Ovis aries: one gene and its partners. The protein of the gene in region 2 interacts with the protein of the main gene of each other region in a biochemical or structural test. Links are inferred from orthologs where the notes say so. Each region holds a gene or a part of one and is shown on either strand. Other genes may lie near its edges.

Region 1 (3,500 bases), on a different chromosome or scaffold from region 2:
TTTGAAGCTAGCCTCTCTCTCATAGTAATTCTGCTGATGCACAAAAGATTGTTCTCCGACAGCTTTTACCCGGCCTGCCGATGCTTTATTGACCAGGTGGGCTGCTGCAGTCTCTGTTGCTGTTTAGTCACTAACTCACGTCCGACTGTTTTGCGACCCCACAGACTGTAGCCCACCAGGCTCCTCCGTCCATGGGATTCTCCAGGCGAGAATACTGGAGTGGGTTGCCATTGCCTTCTCCAGGGGATCTTCTTGGCCCAGAGATCGAACTCGCATCTCCTTCATTGGCAGGAGAGTTCTTTACCATGAGCCGCCAAGGAAGCCCTACAGTGTATATATACCTGTCCTCTAACAAGTTTCTGAGGCTTTATCAAGATAAAGTTTGGAAAAAAAAAAATGAAAAGCTTAATCAACTGACATGAATGCGAGCAAATTGCATGTTTTCAATAAAGAGTTAACTTTTTTACAAATGCACACATATATGCATTTGTAAACCACGGGATGGTGTCACCATTTGTGCCATTGCTTACTTCATTTTACAGAAGAAGCAAGTTCAAGGAGGCCATGGGGTTGGGAGGAGAAAAGGCCGCCTGTCACCACCCTTGTTCTTTGCTTTTTACCAAGATTTGATTTCCCAAGCTTTTCCTCCCTAGAAAACCTATTATCTGATCTGCCTGCCCCTCAGCCTTCTTCCTGCCCTGAAAAACTGTCATTTTGAAAGATATTACCTACCAAATGGCATCGAGCAGATAAACTCTTTTACTGTATTTTGGGTAATCATTGGAGAAGGAAATAGCAATCCACTCCAGTACCTTTGCCTGGAAAATCCCATGGACAGAGGAGCTTGGTAGGCTACAGTCCATGGGGTTGCAAAGAGTCGGACACGACTGAGCGACTCCACTTGGGTAATCAAAAACCAAGAGTTGCAAATAGACTTTGTGATCCACATGATGTGATTTCTGTGAAGATGGGCTTTGGGGGAGGAAATGGACACATTACATAAAGCTTTAGGGAACGGTGAAAATGCTTTACTGGTGGGCACTAACCTTCCTGGAGCCGTAAAGGTCTGAGGAGCCCTGAGAGTGGTGAAGGCCACAGGTACTGAACCACCACTCTTTGACCTGCTGCCTTGCGATTTAATACCTAACAGTGGAGGACGGAAAAGAGTCCCTGGGTTTCAGAGTGAGCACGCTGAACTGATGCCTTCGGGACTTTTGCTTTTTCCACATAGATTGAATATGAAAGGAAAAAGAAAGAAGATGGAAAACGAGCCCGAGCTGATAAACAACACGTTTTGGACATGCTGTTTTCAGCTTTTGAGAAGCATCAGTATTATAACCTGAAGGACTTGGTGGACATCACAAAACAACCTGTGGTATGTATATGCTCACACTGATCCTTTAAATGGGTTTAAATTGGCTTCATTAACACGGCTTTACTGAAGAGAAGCATATTGTGAATTAGTATGTTCGCTTGCACCTATGCTGGTGGCAGGTTTAGTTCCAGCATGGAAAAGATGCCTCCGCGTAAACTTCCTTCCTGTCTTCCCCTCTCTTCCTTTCTCTCTGCTTCTTTTTTTAATCTCAGCTTCACTGTTTGAATTTTAAATACCTTTAGTATCAGTAGTTCGTATGGAGACGAGGCGGATTTGTCCTCCTTTTGACTGACCCTTGGCGTTAAGCCTGAAGTCTCTTGTTTACAGCATTTCTACTCTTCCGTTTGTTCTTCTGCCTCCCTCTAGAAAAGCTCAACTTTAAGAGTCACTGTTTTTTCACAGTGAGTGTGTATCCCTGTCTCGTGAACTGTTCTCTGTGGATTTTTTTAAAAATCATCTAGCACTAACATTAGGTCCTTTCAAACTTGAGCTGTAGAGCCTCACAGTGCTTGTTGAGATTATGCTTGGGTTGGCCTAGTCTCCATTTTCAAGGAAATTTTTAATAAGTTGATGTTTTAGAGAAGTTTTGTTCTATAAATAATCGTTTTTTAATCACTTCTCCAGACGTTTGTATTAATACCTATCTGCAAATAATCTGTGTTTCTAATCCATTTAAAATGCTGGAAACAAGGAATTGAAACCCTTTCTCTAGTCTTTGGGCCATGTTTCCTTCCATTTAGCTCTCTCACACCTAAGCTTAGCAAAGTGTCAGATTGAATTATAGCAGTATTTTACTTACAGGTTTTTAAAAATTAGGTGGAAACCCCTTTATTTTTGTCCTCTTACCCAGTTTTCCTTTATCATTTTATCCACCTTGCCAGGATACCCAAGAATATGTTAATTCTAACTGCTCCATTTATTTGCTTCAGCATATGTAACAAGATAACCGGTTTTGTGAAATATTTTGACATAAATGGCTCCATGGTTTGTTTGGTTTTTTTTATGTATTCAAAGCTTCAGGAAATTATTTCTGAAACTTCAGTATTGATGGTGCAGTTTCCCACTTCTGTAGAGATTTCTTTACTGTTACACTTCATCCTTTCACTATTTCATTAAGAAAGAAATTAGAATTCCAAAAGACCTAAATACTTTTCTTTAACCAAAGAGAAGGAAAGTGCTCATGCTGGCAGTATTATCAACTCATCTTAATGACTTCACTCCCTTCAGCATCAAAGCCTTAGAAACAGCATTCCAAGCTAGATTAGAAAATTTGAAATAGAATAATTCATAAGCTAAACTCCATTTCTTCTGCTTTTAATGAAGTTTATCTTTGTATTTTTATATATACATGAAAAGGCTATTCCAGATATTCTGGATGCAAATGACATAGTCTCATAGAATAAAACACACACACACAGTTAGATGTGGGAAAATAAGTGTTTATAGAGGGACATTCAGATAAGTACTAAGCAAAGCTCTTTCTTTGCCTTCACAGGGAAAGACATAATATTTTTAAAGTTTATTCATTTTGCAGCAGAGAAAAAGAATAACTAGCTTTCTCTCCGTCTTGGCTGTTCAGATAATTTTTATCTGGCGGAACTCAGTGACTCTCTTAACAGAACCTCTTAATTCATGGTCAGTAGGCTTAGGAGATCCAGCAACCCCCTGAATATGTACAGAAATGTGTGGATTTTTCTGGGGAGCAGGTTTGTAGTTTATGTCAGATTCTCAGAGAACCTCGGAACCTCAAAGAGCTTGAGAACCACTGATCTAGAAACTGAATTATTTTATAGTAGTTTTATTATGTAGGGACTAAATTGCCTCTAAAGCATTAAGTTTTTGAAGGCAGGTTTGTATATTATTCACATCCCTAAATATTCATACATTCCACAACACAAACATAGTAGCAATCTAGTAAATATTAGATAAATTGATTTAAGGAAAAGGAGACGGTGACATCCTTTACCTTTTAGGACCAGCGTATTTTCCTCAGGTGGATTTTGACAGACCTCCTGTTGTCTGTGGCAGGAGCGGGGTACAAAGAGCTGTCTCAGTAAAGCATAGAGTGCCGGAGCTGCAGTTACTCTCGTGTAGAGGATAGGACTGGACGTGGTCACCATGGGCT
Region 2 (3,936 bases):
GTATTTATTCGGGAGACTTGGGTGACAGCTAAGTGTACATGCTCACTTTGTAACTGAACTGCACACTTAAAATCTGTGTGCTAAAAACTTCACAAAAAAAGGTAAAAAGCAAGATGGCATTCATTTTTTATATTAGACTACTTTTTGGAAGGAAGAGAGGTTAGGATTATATGAATATGTTTGTTAAACCACAGAATCATTAGGAAAACACCAAGAAACTGGTTACAATGACTGCTTTGGAGAAGAATTAGATGGCTAGGAGCGAGGGAAAAAAGAAACTGCTTTTCACTTTTCTTCTTGCTTTTTATGATTTGCATGTGTTACCTATTCAAAATAAAATAAAATTGTGCTCAAGCAGTTAACTTTTAATTAAATAACCCACAAGGGTAATACAAAAGAGGAACCACAAGAGTAGGGTAGTGGGGGAAGTCAGGGAAAGAAACAAGAGGGAAGGAATGGAGTATACCACCACCACTGACATTAAAACAACTTAGGCTGCCTAAGAAGCCACATAATTCCTAACTTCATTTTATAGCTATCCTTTACTGTGTCTAGTACTGTACATCTATTATTAATCTTCATTAGCAACCCTTCAAATTAAGCATTGCTGCTACTGCTGCTAAGCTGTTTCAGTCGTGTCCAACTCTGTGCGACCCCACAGACGGCAGCCCAGGAGGCTCCCCCATCCCTGGGATTCCCCAGGCAAGAACAATGGAGTGGGTTGCCATTTCCTTCTCCAATGCATGAAAGTGAAAATCGAAAGTGAAGTTAGTCGTGTCCGACCCTCAGCAACCCCATGTACTGCAGCCTTCCAGGCTGCTCCTTCCATGGGATTTTCCAGGCAAGAGTACTGGAGCAGGGTGCCATTGCCTTCTCCACAAATTAAGCATTACCTCTATTTTAAAGATTATGCTCAGAGAATGATTTTCCTGAAGTCACAGAACTAATGAGTGGTAGAGTTTAGATCTGAACTCACAACATTTGTGTTCTTCTCTGTGAAAACACCAAGCAGTTTCATAGTCCAGTAACTGTCCCTCTTCCTCAGGGGGAAAAAAGCTATCACAGAAATACTAACATCCACCTTTGTTCTCACGGGTAAAAAAAACTCAGAGATGGACAACTGCAATAAACCTAGGGAAAATTTATTTCAAAGAAATATCTCACATTTTTTCTTTTAATGAAGAGAATAAAGCACACAAAGGAAATGTTTCCGTAAAGAATCTATCAAGTGAATTTCCTATATGTAACTACTACAATATGTTATAATAAAGCCCCAATATAACCATATTCATAGCAGATCTGCCCTAGGAGAATGTTATATATAGGTGTTCTTGGGAAGCTAGTTCTCCATTTACCTACAAGGAACCCTAACCTGACAGAGCCACACCCAAGTAGAATGATTGAACATTTAATCACAGAATTAGAATCAGTAAACAAGTATCACTGGCCATAAGAGCTGTTTCCAAGTAGTTTAGCTAAGGCTGCCTCCTGCCCCATCTTTTTAAAATACAGTAACACAAAGTAGTAAGCCTTGGTACTCACCAGAAAGGGCCTGTACTACTCAAAGATTATCATTTTGTGATGATGGCTTTCATCAGGAACTCAATTCCAAAGATGAGAACAAGTTCAGAAAAATTATGCCAGAGTTACCTTGCCTTCCAGAAGCTACAGAACTTAATCTGATATGTTTAGTACATTATGAGTTACCAAGTGTGACAACAGGAAACAGATATCTGAGATTCTATACTCTGTTCTAATACTAACCTTCGAAAAGCCAACATGGGCATGACTCAGTTTACACTTAGGCAAAAATCCTAATATCTACCTCAGGGTCATGAGAGACATAATTAGGGTCTGCAAGCATTTTTCACGTCACAGGATTAAAGGCTGTCTCTAATGCCACTGTATGCATTTGCAGTAGGTATCAATCAGTACATCACATTTTAAAAATATATTAGTGACTTCTCTGCTGCGGCTGCTGTTAAGTCGCTTCAATCGTGTCCGACACTGTGCGACCCCATAGATGGCAGCCCACCAGGCTCCCCCGTCCCTGGGCTTCTCCAGGCAAGAACACTAGAGTGCGTTGCCTTCTGAGTGACTTCCCAGTATGTTAATTTTCTGCAGGCAAAATTTTCTTCAGGAGTATGCAGATGACATCTCTAAAGAAATCTCTTAAGGAGACTTATCAACTCTTCAGAAATGCCTTAGCTTCCACTTCAAAAGGCCTCGGGGATGGTTATCAGTTTCCATCAGGTTTACCAACGCTGACGTCCCTAACTTTTTGTCAGATGGATAAAGGCCTAGAACTAACCCTTTCCCGCTCTCTAGAAGAGGATTCACGGACCCTCCGCTGGCAGACCAACAGATTAAAAAAAACAAGCGTAGAAAATTTAGGAAAAAAGGACAGTTGGATCATACGCAAAAGACCCGAGGCCAGGGGCTGGGGACACCGGAGCCCCCCACATGATAGTGCCTGAGTGAGAAAACGACCAAGGACGCTGGAGGAGAAACGCCGGCGGCTCGTTATCCCCTGCGACACCCCTGACAGCCCTGCGTCTGGAAGTGCCTTTGTCCCGGGCGGCCAGCCGGTCCGGCTGCCTCTCCCCGCACTTCCGAGGCGTTCTGCTCGACGAAGCAGCGGGAGCGGCCGCCCTGCTAGCCCCGGCACTCGCCGCCCGCCCTTCAGCTGGCTGGGCTCTACATGACGTACTAACCGGCTGGTAGACGCCATCTTCCCGGCCACTGCGGCTCCAGCTACAAACAACGACAGACGCAACCGCAAACAGGAAGAGACAGTGGCGACGAAACGCAGCGAGACGGGCTTTTATAGGCGAATCGCCCACGCAGTCGTAATAGGGCGTGGCTACGGGTCCGGAGAAGGGCCAAGAACAGTGAGCTCGGGTACGCCCCGTGCTTTGCGTTTTCTTACTTCCCTATTCACTTTCGATCATTTTCTATGTGGCTGGGCAAATATAGGAAATCACCCGGGAAAATTCCCAAGGGCACTCTGCAAACGTGCTGCACCAGAGATACCCTCAACTTGACTGAGTTACAACACAAAATACTGGGCTCCGTGGAGGGGGCAAAGCCCGCATCCGTTCACTTCAGTTCAGTCGCTCAGTCGTGTCCGACTCTTTGTGACCCCATGAATCGCAGCACTCCAGGCCTTCCTGTCCATCACCAATTCCCGGAGTCCACCCAAACCCATATCCATCGAGTCGGTGATGCCATCCAACCATCTCATCCTCTGTCATCCCTTTCTCCTCCTGCCCTTAATCTTTCCCAGCATCAGGGTCTTTTCAAATGAGTCAGCTCCTCGCATCAGGTGGCCAAAGTATTGGAGTGGCAGCTTCAACATCAGTCCCAGCAATGAACACCCAAGACTGATTTCCTTTAGGATGGACTGGTTGGATCTCCTTGCAGTCCAAGGGACTCTCAAGAGTCTTCTCCAATAACGCAGTTCAAAGGCATCAATTCTTTGGTGCTCAGCCTTCTTTATAGTCCAACTCTCACATCCATACATGACCACAGGAAAAACCATAGCCTTGACTAGACGGACCTTTGTTGACAAAGTAATGTCTCTGCTTTTTAATATGTTGTCTAGGTTGGTCATAACTTTCCTTCCAAGGAGCAAGTGTCTTTTAATTTCTTGGCTGCAATCACCATCTGCAGTGATTTTGGAGCCCAGAAAAATAAAGTCAGCCATTGTGTCCACTGTTACCCATCTATTTGCCATGAAATGATGGGACCAGATGCCATGATCTTAGTTTTCTGAATGTTGAGTTTTAAGCTAACTTTTTCACTCTCCCCTTTCACTTTCATCAACAGGCTTTTTAGTTCTTCCTCACTTTCTGCCATAAGGGTGGTGTCATGTGCATAACTGAGGTTATTGATAATTCTCCCAGCAATCTTGATTCCAGCTTGTGCTTCCCCCAG
Region 3 (3,500 bases), about 120 Mb from region 2:
TTCTTTCTTAGGTTTTTACAGATTTTTAATACAAGATTGATCTACTAAGTAATTAGTAAAACTATAGTCTATTTTCCAATTTACAAATAGCAACACAACTATACAAGTCAGCAATTTAAAGTTTCTCATGTTAATGTTAGACGTTATATTTTCAGAAAACACGTTTTGTAAATTCTGTGTTGATCAGAAAAATCCTTAAAACTAAGTATTTAATGAAATGAAACAATTTATAACTCTTGTTGACAATTCTCTTCCATCAATGACTGGCTAAGAAACTAAATATATATTGTTAACTTAAGCGGAAAGGGTGCTCCCTCTTATTTCATCTGGTTAACTTTAACTTATCTTTTAGGCCCCTGCTATTTAATTTCTTTCAGAGGCCTTCCCAAAACCAGATTAGCCGCCCTAGTTATGTCCTCCTGAGAGCACTTTGCATTTCTACTAACCAAGTATTTAAGTACTAATAATAAGCATTTATTATAACTGTCTGGCAGTGATTGGCACAAGAAAATGCTCAAATATTTGCTGAATGAAAAGGTCAAAAGTAAACTCAGTAAAGTCAGAATAGCCTCAAAGTGGTAGGGAAAGTAAACCCTTCAGATTAGGCTGCAGTTGTAAACAAGGGATGGGAGTGGAAGGAGAGGTGGAAGGGCCATGGGTGAAAGAATAGTCCATGGATGAGTAAATCCCTTGTAAAGGAGAAATGCTTTGCAATAGCTCCTAAAAGTAGTATGACAAATTGGACATTAAGGCTAAGAATGACTATATGCTTACTTACACCAATATATTCCCTTTTATAATGATATAGCTTCCCTGGTGGCTCAGAGGTTAAAGCGTCTGCCTCCAATGCTGGAGACCCAGGTTCGATCCCTGGGTCGGGAAGATCCCCTGGAGAAGCAAATGGTAACCCACTCCAGTAATTTTGCCTGGAGAATCCCATGGACAGAGAAGCCTGGTAGGCTACAGTTCACGGGGTCGCAAAGAGTTGGACACGACTAAGCGACTTCACTTTACTATACTATACTATACTATACTATACTATACTATACTATACTATACTACACTACACTACAGAGCTTCCCAGGTGGCGCTAGTAGTAAAGAATTCACCTGTCAGTGCAGGAGATGCAAAAGGTGAGAGTTTGATCTCTGGGTCAGGAAGATCCTCTGAAGTAGGGAATGGCAACCCACTCCAGTATGCTTGCCTGGGAAATCCCATGGACAGAGGAGCCAGACAGGCTACAGTCCATGGGGCCACAAAGAGTTGGACACAACTGAGCACACAATGATACATATAATCAGTTTAAAAACTATGTAAATCAATTTAAGATAAAGGATATACACTTTATTCTAAAAAGTTACTTAAAAGAAAGATTCATTAACTGGAAAAATCTCACCTGTCATGGGATCAAACAGCTGATTAGCTTCTAAGTCTGTAAAAGTACTACTACAGACAGGACATTTGAAGGAAGCCCGGTTGGTGGAATCTCTCTCATCAGTTTCAATCCTCCTTCTCATGTGGTCCAATTTATATTTTACCACATTAACAAGAGTACGATAATTGATGAAGTAGTAGTTGTGGCGAGTGGTTTTCCCATCTGCAGCAGTCTCTACCCTCATTCTGCACTTGATGAACTTGTCTCCCTTTAAATTATTCAAGACTGATCGAAGTTGCTTCCGATCAAATTTGAGAAGCTCCAGCATGTCCTCCTCTTTCACACAGGGGTTTCGGATCAAGATGTCCAAGGCCAAAGCATGCTCAATGCCATAAAATCCCCGGATCACGTACTTTGCTAGCCGCTTCAATGCTGCAGGAACCTCAGTGAGGACATCTGGATCTGCCATCTTTAGCAGCAAACTTCAATTTCAAATGTACGGTCAGAAAAAAAAAAAAGAGAGAGAGAGAGAAAATTATCTAGAATATGGACAAAGCAATCATTTTAAATCTAAAATAATCAACCCATTAAGTAGCTGATAACCAGTATTCTTGGAGTACCACAATAGTACTCAAAGTGTTGTTTTTAAAAGATTTATAATGCCCAAGCATGTAACAAGAGAACAAGATATTCCTTTAGAGTACACAAAAGATTACACATAAAAAGCTTGACATATTTCTTAAATGGTTATTTTCATGACCTACAGAGTGTTTAATTCCAAAAAGCAACATTATTTACAGCAATGATACAATGATATATTGTATCAAACCCACTTTATTTCAGAAAGAGAAACACAAAAAGGCTAAATAAAGTCTCATTCATTATTCTTAAAGCTACACATCTTTGGGAATGCTGGGGGGAAAAAAAACCCTGAGAAACTTAGTTAGCAGTTAGCATACTCTTTTAAGTGTCTTTATTTCTTGAGTAAAATTTTTCTACCAAGATAGATTGTAGGATGTTCTACACAGTCTGGCTCTCATAATAAACTCATAAGAAACCAATAAAACACCTAAATAATGACCAGTTGGGGGGACTGGCAAAATTACTGTTAAAAATCCGAAAGAAATGAACAACTACATACCACTTTACCAACCTTGAAAAGATAAATGACCAAATAAGCAAATGCTATACAGTTCTTAAAAACAACAACAAAGACCAAGATATCCTTAAATACTGGATCCCCTGCAGGACAAGCAGAAGCTAACTGTACCCAGAGTACGGTCTTCTAGAAGCCCAAACCGGCATAAACTAGACTTCCATGTGACTGTTAAAGAGCCTGGGATTTGAATTTGTGGCTGTGTGACTCTAAGCAAATTCCTTAACAACTTCAAGGCACACTTTACTCCCTGAGAAATAAGGATAATATCAACTGCCTCAATGAGGTTGTGGTGAATTAATGAGAATGTAATGTGCTTAGAGTGAAAAAAGTGAAGTCACTCAGTCGTGTCCGACTCTTTGCAACCCCATGGACTGTAGCCTACCACGCTCCTCCGTCCATGGGATTTTCCAGGCAAGATTACTGGAGTGGGTTGCCATTTCCTTCTCCAGCGGATCTTCCCGACCCAGGGATCAAACCTGGGTCTCCCGCATTGTAGGCAGATGCTTTACCATCTGAGCCACCAGGAAAGTCCAACGTGCTTAGAAAGCACTTGTTAACAAAGTGCTTGAATATCAATTTAATGTGTCCCTACACTACAAGAAAATTTCTAACAGACATCCTATTGAACTGTTTCAACAGGGAATCATACTGTTATTAATACTAGTTTCTCCTGACCCTTTTATTTAAAATCAGTAGTTATTAACCTTATTAGATTTAATACCTTTTTATAAGAAATATATTTATATCCACAGTACTATAAAGGTATTTCTAAATAGCCAATAACATACACATACAGGGGAAGGGATATAATACCTGACCTGTAATAAAGGAAAAATAAAAGGGAATAGTTATAATATTTATTTTGGATTATAAATACTCAGGCATGAATAAATATAAGAGATAACAAAGTAGCACCTAGATTCAAACTTGTGGTCCTTGAGGCTTTCTGTCATTCCAAGGCTTAAG
Region 4 (3,661 bases), on a different chromosome or scaffold from region 2:
AAAAGAAGGCATCAAAAACAGAAGGGGCCATACACTCAAAATAGACCTACTGATCTGAAAGAGAAACATACTTTGCAGAACTGAAAGACAGTGACATAAGTACTTATGGGTTTGTGCATGTGTGCTCAATCACGTCCGACTCTGCCACCCCATGGACTGTAGCCCCACCAGGCTCCTCTATTCATGGGATTTCCCAGACGAGAATACTGGAGTGGGTGCCTCCAGGGAAACTTCCTGACCCAGGGATTGAACCTGCGTCCCCTGCACAGGCAGAGCAGATTCTTCACCACTGAGCCACCTGAGAAGCCCTTTTAACGGGTTCAGCAGGTGGATAAGCCACAGCTGAAGAGAGAACCAGCCAAGTGAAAGACAGAGCTGAAAGAAATCAGCCAGCAGCTCCACGGAGGAGGCTGAGGGGCTAAGGAGAGGGTTAAGTCCTAAGAGGTGTCTACAGGCGGTGGGACAAGAGGCAGCGAGTGTGGGTATGAAGACCCTGAGGATTGTGGAAAATAGACCATGTTTATTGGGGGGAGCGTCACTCCTTGAGGGAGAAATGCATCTTGTCGTTGATCATCTTGCGCTCAGGGTTCAGGCGCTTCAGGATCTGAGCCAGCACATTCACTGTCTGCTCGCTGCTCAGCCCCGTCTTCTTGGTCTGGAACTTCTTCAGCAGGTCCTTGGTGGTCATGGGCTTCCGTGTCAGGTAGCGGCGCACGGCGTCTTCAGTCACTTGAACGTCACTGGAGGTGGGGAGCTGGGTGTCAGCGGGCGTCCTCTGTCCCTGAGCCCCCTGACCCCCACCCCCCACCGGCCCCTGCTGTGCTCGCCCACTTACCCACTGCTGGGGGTTGACTTCCCAGACTGGGGCTGAGGAGTGGATTTCCCGGACAAGCTCTGGGGCCCAGCGTCCAGTCGCAGCCGCTTAGCTGCCGGCGTTTCGCTGGTGCGCTTCCCTGTGGGAGGTGGCGGTGGGACTGAGACCAGGTCTGGGAGGCTGGACCACTGGGTAGGGGGGTGGGAGGACAGTGCTGGGATCATGTGTGCAAGGGGCTCAGAGGATGCGGAACAGGAAGACCAGGATGGGGTCAACAGCGGGGTAGGGCGGGCAGGGTGGGATGGTGGGGTACTACTCACCCTGCTCCAGCTTGCTGGCGGCTGCCCGGAGGGTGGAAGAAGTACTGCCTGCCTCAGTGCTGGGCGTGCCTGGCCGGCTGTTACCCCTGGAACTGCCCCCTGATGGCTTCCGCTCCCTTTTGGGGGGCGTCTTCTTTTTCTGTGGAGATCGCAACTGAGCATACATGTCAGGAGAGGGGCCCCCCACCGTCCTCCCTGGCCAGCCCTGCCTCGGCTGGGCCTTACCGCCATGAAGAGTGCTGAGGAGGCTTCACTGTCGATGTCACTCTCCTCCGAGCTGTCGGACTCCTCGCTGCTGTCTGCAAGGGGCCAGAGGAGGGGATGTCAGGACCGGAGACCCCTGAGCCAGCTCTCAGCCCTGTCCCAGATCAGGGCCTCAGAGGGAACAACCCACCTTTCCTCCGCTTCTTCTCCTGCGGCGTGGGCGCCTTCTTCTCCTCCTCCTCCTCCTTGTCCTCCTCAGGTGGCTTTTCCTCCTCACTCTCTTCGCTGCTCTCACTCTGCTCATCCACGCCCTTGGGGCCCTCCTCCTGCTGGGTGGCCTTGGGCTTGCCTTCCAGCTCATCCTGGGAGCTGCTGTAAGACAGAGAGCGGGCAGAGGGTGAGTAAGCACGTCTGCAGGCCGGCCCAGGGTCTCACACCCGCCTCCCGCCTGCCTCACCTGGAACCATCGGACATATAGTCCACCTCCTGGCCCTCGAAGTCCCCGTCATCACTGTCCTCAAAGGCCTCATCATCTGAGCCCTTCTTCTTCTTCTTCTTCCGGCCCCCCTTGCTGGGCAGTGCCTTCTTCTTGGTCTTGGGGGCTCTGCCACCTGGGGAGGGACAGACAAGGTGAGGGGCTCAGACGGGCATGCATCGTGTTGTGTGTATCTAATGATGCCTGGACATCTCAGGGGCTGTGGTGATGCCAGGAACGGCCCTAATTCCTCCAGGAGGCAGAGAGCTGGCCCAGGGTTGTACCAATCACCCACCGCCAAGCAAGCAATCCCAACTTCACACCCCTAGACAACCCCTTTCTCTAACTCACACTCAGGGCTGCCATTGCTGCCCTAAATCACCTGGGCCAGCCAGCCACCGGGCAACCAGAGACCACCCCTTGGCCCAGAGGCTGCTGGCACGACTCAAACTGGCCAGTCTTAAGGCCATTCCCATGGAAATCCCAGGTGAGGCCATGGCCAAGAAAGACCTTCCTGGGGCCTCCTAACCAACCCTGGTGCTTCCCCCAGCGGCCAAGCTCCTGGGGGAACAGGGGTCTGCAAGTAACCAAGCAATCCTTTCAGGGGCATTCACTTTTCTGAGTCATCACACAAGACCTGAATTAATTACAACTGCGGCCCCAGCTGCCCAGGGCTGGCTACATCTGCCTCACCCTCCTCGCCGCTGGCCTCGCTGTCATCCGACGACATCTCCAGGTCGTCCTCCAGGTCGTGGATGCGCAGCTCGCTGGCCTTCTTTCTGCTGCGCTTCTCCTTCTCCTCATCCTCCTCGTCCTGGTCCTGGTCTTTCAGCCGCCGCTGCTGCATGATGCTGAAGTGGTTCAGGACCTTGTTTCTCCTGTGGGGCGGGGGGCAGTGTTACAGCAGGGGCTGGCAGCGGGCCTGGCTCCGGGGACCCCCTCTGGGAGTGGGCCTCATCCACTGATGCCTCCCTGCACTTCCACCAGGTGTGCCCCGAGGGAGAGCCACTGACACAACTTAGGTGATGAGAGGGACGACCTGACCCTGAACATGGGGACACAAGCACGTGGCAGAAAGACCCTGAGAGCACACAGGGAGAGCTGGCCCTCCTTTGGTTCCCTGCCTGCCCAGAGTCCCTCAGGAGAAGGTCTCGTGTGATGCTGACACCCTAGCACCGGATCCAACTCCCCACTTCTCCAGTCCCTCTCCCCGCTGTCTCCAGTCCATCTGCCCCCTGGACTGGGTGCTCCTGAGCAGTGGAGAGATCTGGCTTGCTCACCGCTGAGTCCCCAGCTCCCAGCCAGGCACAATGTCGGGGGGTTGCAGCCCTTTTCTAGGCGTGGCCCCATCACTCACCTCTCCCACTCCTCCTCAGCCTCCTCGGCCGTGAGCGTGCGGTGCTTGGCCAGCGGCGTGAAGTTATACCAGTTGTGGACAGGGAAGGCCTCGAAAGCCCCATCAGGGCACTGGGTGAAGATGTAGTAGGAGGTGTTTTCTGTCACGCCGCCCTTCTTTATGCCCTTGAACCTGCAGGGAGTTCAAGGTCACAGTCTGTGTGGGGAAGAAGGACTAGTGCCACATCCAGACAACACCCCCTGCATCCCTCTCTCCAGGGCCATCTGGGTTCTCCTAGCAAAACCTGAGGCTGGAAGGCTGGCCCGCTGACTGCCTGAGCCTGGATTCCCACATCTGGAAAAGGTGGGCTTCCTGCCCTCACAGAGCAGACTTAGGGCTCCTGTGCACTATACACGACATGGTCCTTTCTGGAAGGACCTGTTAGATGGGCCCTAAAGAGCACAGTGCTCTAGTGTCAGACCCCTCTGGATTCCCCTCCGGAATCTTCCTTG
Region 5 (3,069 bases), on a different chromosome or scaffold from region 2:
CACTCCACGAATATAAGAATGCCGTGACTTTTTGAGACCTCCATTAGCTGAATGTGGCCTCCAAAGGCCACACAGGTGACCCCAAGTCAGGAGCCAGGAGCCGTCGCAGGGTCCCACCTCAGGCTTCTCTCACCTGCACTGCTGACGTCCCTGCTCCCGTCCAGCCCTGACCAGGCCTGGTGCTGCGCGCTCTGCTTTCTGGGGCAGCCCGAGCATGACAGGCTGGCTTAAGACTTCAACAGACTCTTAACCTTCTCTCTGATCATTTCTGAGTTTAGTCTGGAGCTTTCCGAACTCTCTAACTACTGCAGCACTTGGAGAAGCCCAAAGCACTTGACGTCAAGAGCCCAAAGCCAACCTCACCGTCTCACCTCAAGCACCTGATCCTGGTTCCCTCCCCTTTGGTGTTCCCGCCCTACCTCTTTTGCCCTGTTCCCAAACCTTGGACACATCCTCAGCAGCTTCCTCTTTCTCACTCCCCACCATTCACCCTCTAGACACATGTTCACCAAGCATCTGCGTGCCAGGCTCCATTAGAGCCACTGGAGGTATGGCCCTGAATAAGCAGACAAGGTTCCTGTTCCCCAAAGCTGTGACATCCAAGGGACAGAGGGGCACTGACACAAGTGATAGGAGCTGAGGAGGAGACCAGGGCGAGTAACAGCGCCAGAGGTAAGGTCGAGGGGTCCAGGGAAGCACCGGTGTGAGCCCACCGTGTGAAGATCTGGGGGCCAAGCGTTTCGAGCAGAGGCAACAGCTAGAGCACAGGTCCCCAGGAGGACACAAAGGGCCCTTGGGCTCAGGGTCTTGGAGGAGGCCTGCAGTGGGTGAGACGGTCTCGTGCGTTCTGTCTGTGAGGTTCACACAGCACCTTTTCTCCCGGAACGACCGGAACATCTTCCGAAACCTCCCCACCCCATGTCCCCCCTCTCAGATGCTCTGCACGCTGCTTCCAGACCTGCTCACGTCACTTCTCTGTTCAGAAACCTTTGGTGGCTCCCGAGGCCTTAGGATGTGACCCCAGATGAACGCAAGTCCAGCCTTCAAGGCCCTTCTGCCGGAGCCTGCTCACTACCCGACGACGTGAACTCTTGCCACAAAGCTGTCCCCAAACGTGCTGTGCCCGTTCCCTGCCCTTCTGCTCCACCCGCCTAGAGAATGCGCTTCTGGGTCTTTCTCCAATCTAAATGCTACCTCCTCCACGCGGCCGGTTCCAGTTCCCACAGTATTCTGCACACACCTCGCTGCTTCACGCGTCATTCTGTGACACAGGCTGCTGTTTTGCATGTGTGCCTTCCTCATGTGACCGAGCTCCCAAAGGGCAGGGAACGTGTCTTATCCATCTTTGGATTGATGATACCTGGCGCAGAGCCTGGTGCCAAGTGGACACTCAGTCCTCATCTGGTGGGATGAACTGATGGCTGTTTCAGGCCTTGTTTTCCAGACTGTTAAACAGGTCCCAGGGCAGGACACACTTTCAGGCTGGATGACAGGCTTCAGATAAAGGATCACTTTGGCTGTTCCTATTTGAGCAGATGCCCGAAAGCCCTGACCACAGCATGGCTGTGTGGTGGTGATAAGTATAGATACACTGTGGCAACAGGTCCCAGAAGCCAGATGGCCTGGGTTCAAATGAGGTCTGGGTCTATAACTCACTAGCTATGTGACCTAAGGCAAGTTAGATGCTATCTCCCACCTCAAAAGGTTCATGAGAGAATAAAATCAGGTAATTCACTGATATGCCTGGAATAGGGCCACACATATCACAAGAGCTCAGTAAGTCTTGGGCACCACTATTAAATGAGGTGAGAAGAAGAATCTGATTACTATGGAAATCTGCCCAACCCCAGCTTCTGACCTTCACCTACAGCTGTGGCATCCAGCCCGGCCTCACTCCCACCGGCTGGAGCCCACAGCCCTGCTGCTGCCCTGCCCAGCTGGGTACCTGTGTCTGGCAAGTACTGGAATTCCATGGGCTCGCTGAGCTCCCGATCAGAAGGCCGCCGCAGCTGCATGGAGACACGCACAGGGGCCTGCAGGCTGGGGTCCGCATAGGGCGGCGTCCGGAACACGATGGCCACTTGCCGGTGCACGTCAGCTTGTGAAAAAGAGCCTCGGGCCTCCCAGCCTGGTCCCGTGAAATACACCTCGATGTCCTCTGCAGGAGACAGGGCGGCCGTGTGGGTGCTCAGCTTCCCCAGCCCGCCGCCCCCTGCAATTGCCGATACTAGTCTCTAGAGATGCATGGCCCTGCTGTCCCCAAAGAGTTGGGGACAGTGCTTAAACCAGCTCCTTAACACTTAGTGTGTCTGCTCAGCCTTGCCCCTTGCCTCCTGCTCCTGGGTCCAGCCCTCCTTCTGGCTGTGTACCTTTCTGCACCTTGTCACACAGCAGGAAGATCTCGTCCCCGCCGAGGCAGCTCCCAGAGTTCCGATTTACCCGGCAGATCTTAAGCTCAGCGGTGTTGGGGGCGCCTGAAGGTGTGGGAATAAGGAAGGAAGCCCTGAACCACCGGCAGTCTCCCGGGCTGACCTGCAGGAAAATGCGGCTCCTGCCCAGCCCAGGGTCAAGGTTGTCTAGAATTTGCTGACTACACCTCTGCAGCCAAGATTCAACCATTCCCATTGGCTCCTCACACCAACCAATTCAGCAACTCTGCCGGCACCTACTCCATGCCCAGCTCTGCTCTAGGCCTGAAGAACATAACCACGCACAAAAGGTAAACATCTCTGCCATCATGAAGCATACAGTCCTACGAGAACCAAAGCGATCACAACTGCTGTTTCTCCACCTGACCCAGGCAGTATTCAAGACCCATTCATACACGCTCTGGCAATGAATCCTTCCCTCCTGAGCCCCCCACCCCCACACACACTGGTTCATCCTGGTTTTCTGGCCTTGGGGCTCCAAAGCCTTTTTATTTTCACGTATCCTACTGGCTACTTTTAAACTGCAGTTGACCAATGTCAGCCCAATCCATCTGTAAACTTCCTGTGAGCTTTCCTCATTGAATTCTTAGTTTCTAACATTATCTCGTTCCTGGAAGTTCATTTCCTGGAGTCCTCAGTA

Evidence for each region.
Region 1: the proteins of GTF2B (region 2) and GTF2F2 form a complex in vitro, tested with the Homo sapiens proteins (2 studies listed by BioGRID and IntAct). The link is inferred for Ovis aries from reciprocal best matches to the Homo sapiens genes GTF2B and GTF2F2.
Region 3: the proteins of GTF2B (region 2) and GTF2E1 form a complex in vitro, tested with the Homo sapiens proteins (2 studies listed by BioGRID). The link is inferred for Ovis aries from reciprocal best matches to the Homo sapiens genes GTF2B and GTF2E1.
Region 4: the proteins of GTF2B (region 2) and GTF2F1 form a complex in vitro, tested with the Homo sapiens proteins (3 studies listed by BioGRID and IntAct). The link is inferred for Ovis aries from reciprocal best matches to the Homo sapiens genes GTF2B and GTF2F1.
Region 5: the proteins of GTF2B (region 2) and RELA form a complex in vitro, tested with the Homo sapiens proteins (2 studies listed by BioGRID and IntAct). The link is inferred for Ovis aries from reciprocal best matches to the Homo sapiens genes GTF2B and RELA.

Annotation. Positions count from the first base shown.
Region 1 is NC_056063.1:15,776,973-15,780,472, forward strand, and holds part of GTF2F2 (general transcription factor IIF subunit 2), read left to right. Parts: intron 1-1,231; coding exon 1,232-1,375; intron 1,376-3,500. UniProt on the Homo sapiens protein: TFIIF is a general transcription initiation factor that binds to RNA polymerase II and helps to recruit it to the initiation complex in collaboration with TFIIB.
Region 2 is NC_056054.1:66,124,062-66,127,997, forward strand, and holds the start of GTF2B (transcription initiation factor IIB), read right to left. Parts: upstream 2,801-3,936; 5' UTR 2,732-2,800; coding exon 2,715-2,731; intron 1-2,714. UniProt on the Homo sapiens protein: General transcription factor that plays a role in transcription initiation by RNA polymerase II (Pol II). Involved in the pre-initiation complex (PIC) formation and Pol II recruitment at promoter DNA.
Region 3 is NC_056054.1:186,281,634-186,285,133, reverse strand, and holds part of GTF2E1 (general transcription factor IIE subunit 1), read right to left. Parts: exon of another isoform or gene 3,488-3,500; coding exon of another isoform or gene 3,450-3,487; intron 1,858-3,449; coding exon 1,397-1,857; intron 883-1,396; exon of another isoform or gene 811-882; intron 1-810.
Region 4 is NC_056058.1:15,928,121-15,931,781, reverse strand, and holds the end of GTF2F1 (general transcription factor IIF subunit 1), read right to left. Parts: intron 3,342-3,661; coding exon 3,171-3,341; intron 2,692-3,170; coding exon 2,507-2,691; intron 1,950-2,506; coding exon 1,796-1,949; intron 1,711-1,795; coding exon 1,529-1,710; intron 1,434-1,528; coding exon 832-1,433; 3' UTR 741-831; coding exon of another isoform or gene 536-740; 3' UTR 501-535; downstream 1-500. UniProt on the Homo sapiens protein: TFIIF is a general transcription initiation factor that binds to RNA polymerase II and helps to recruit it to the initiation complex in collaboration with TFIIB. It promotes transcription elongation.
Region 5 is NC_056074.1:40,276,238-40,279,306, forward strand, and holds part of RELA (transcription factor p65), read right to left. Parts: intron 2,475-3,069; coding exon 2,370-2,474; intron 2,159-2,369; coding exon 1,946-2,158; intron 1-1,945. UniProt on the Homo sapiens protein: NF-kappa-B is a pleiotropic transcription factor present in almost all cell types and is the endpoint of a series of signal transduction events that are initiated by a vast array of stimuli related to many biological processes such as inflammation, immunity, differentiation, cell growth, tumorigenesis and apoptosis.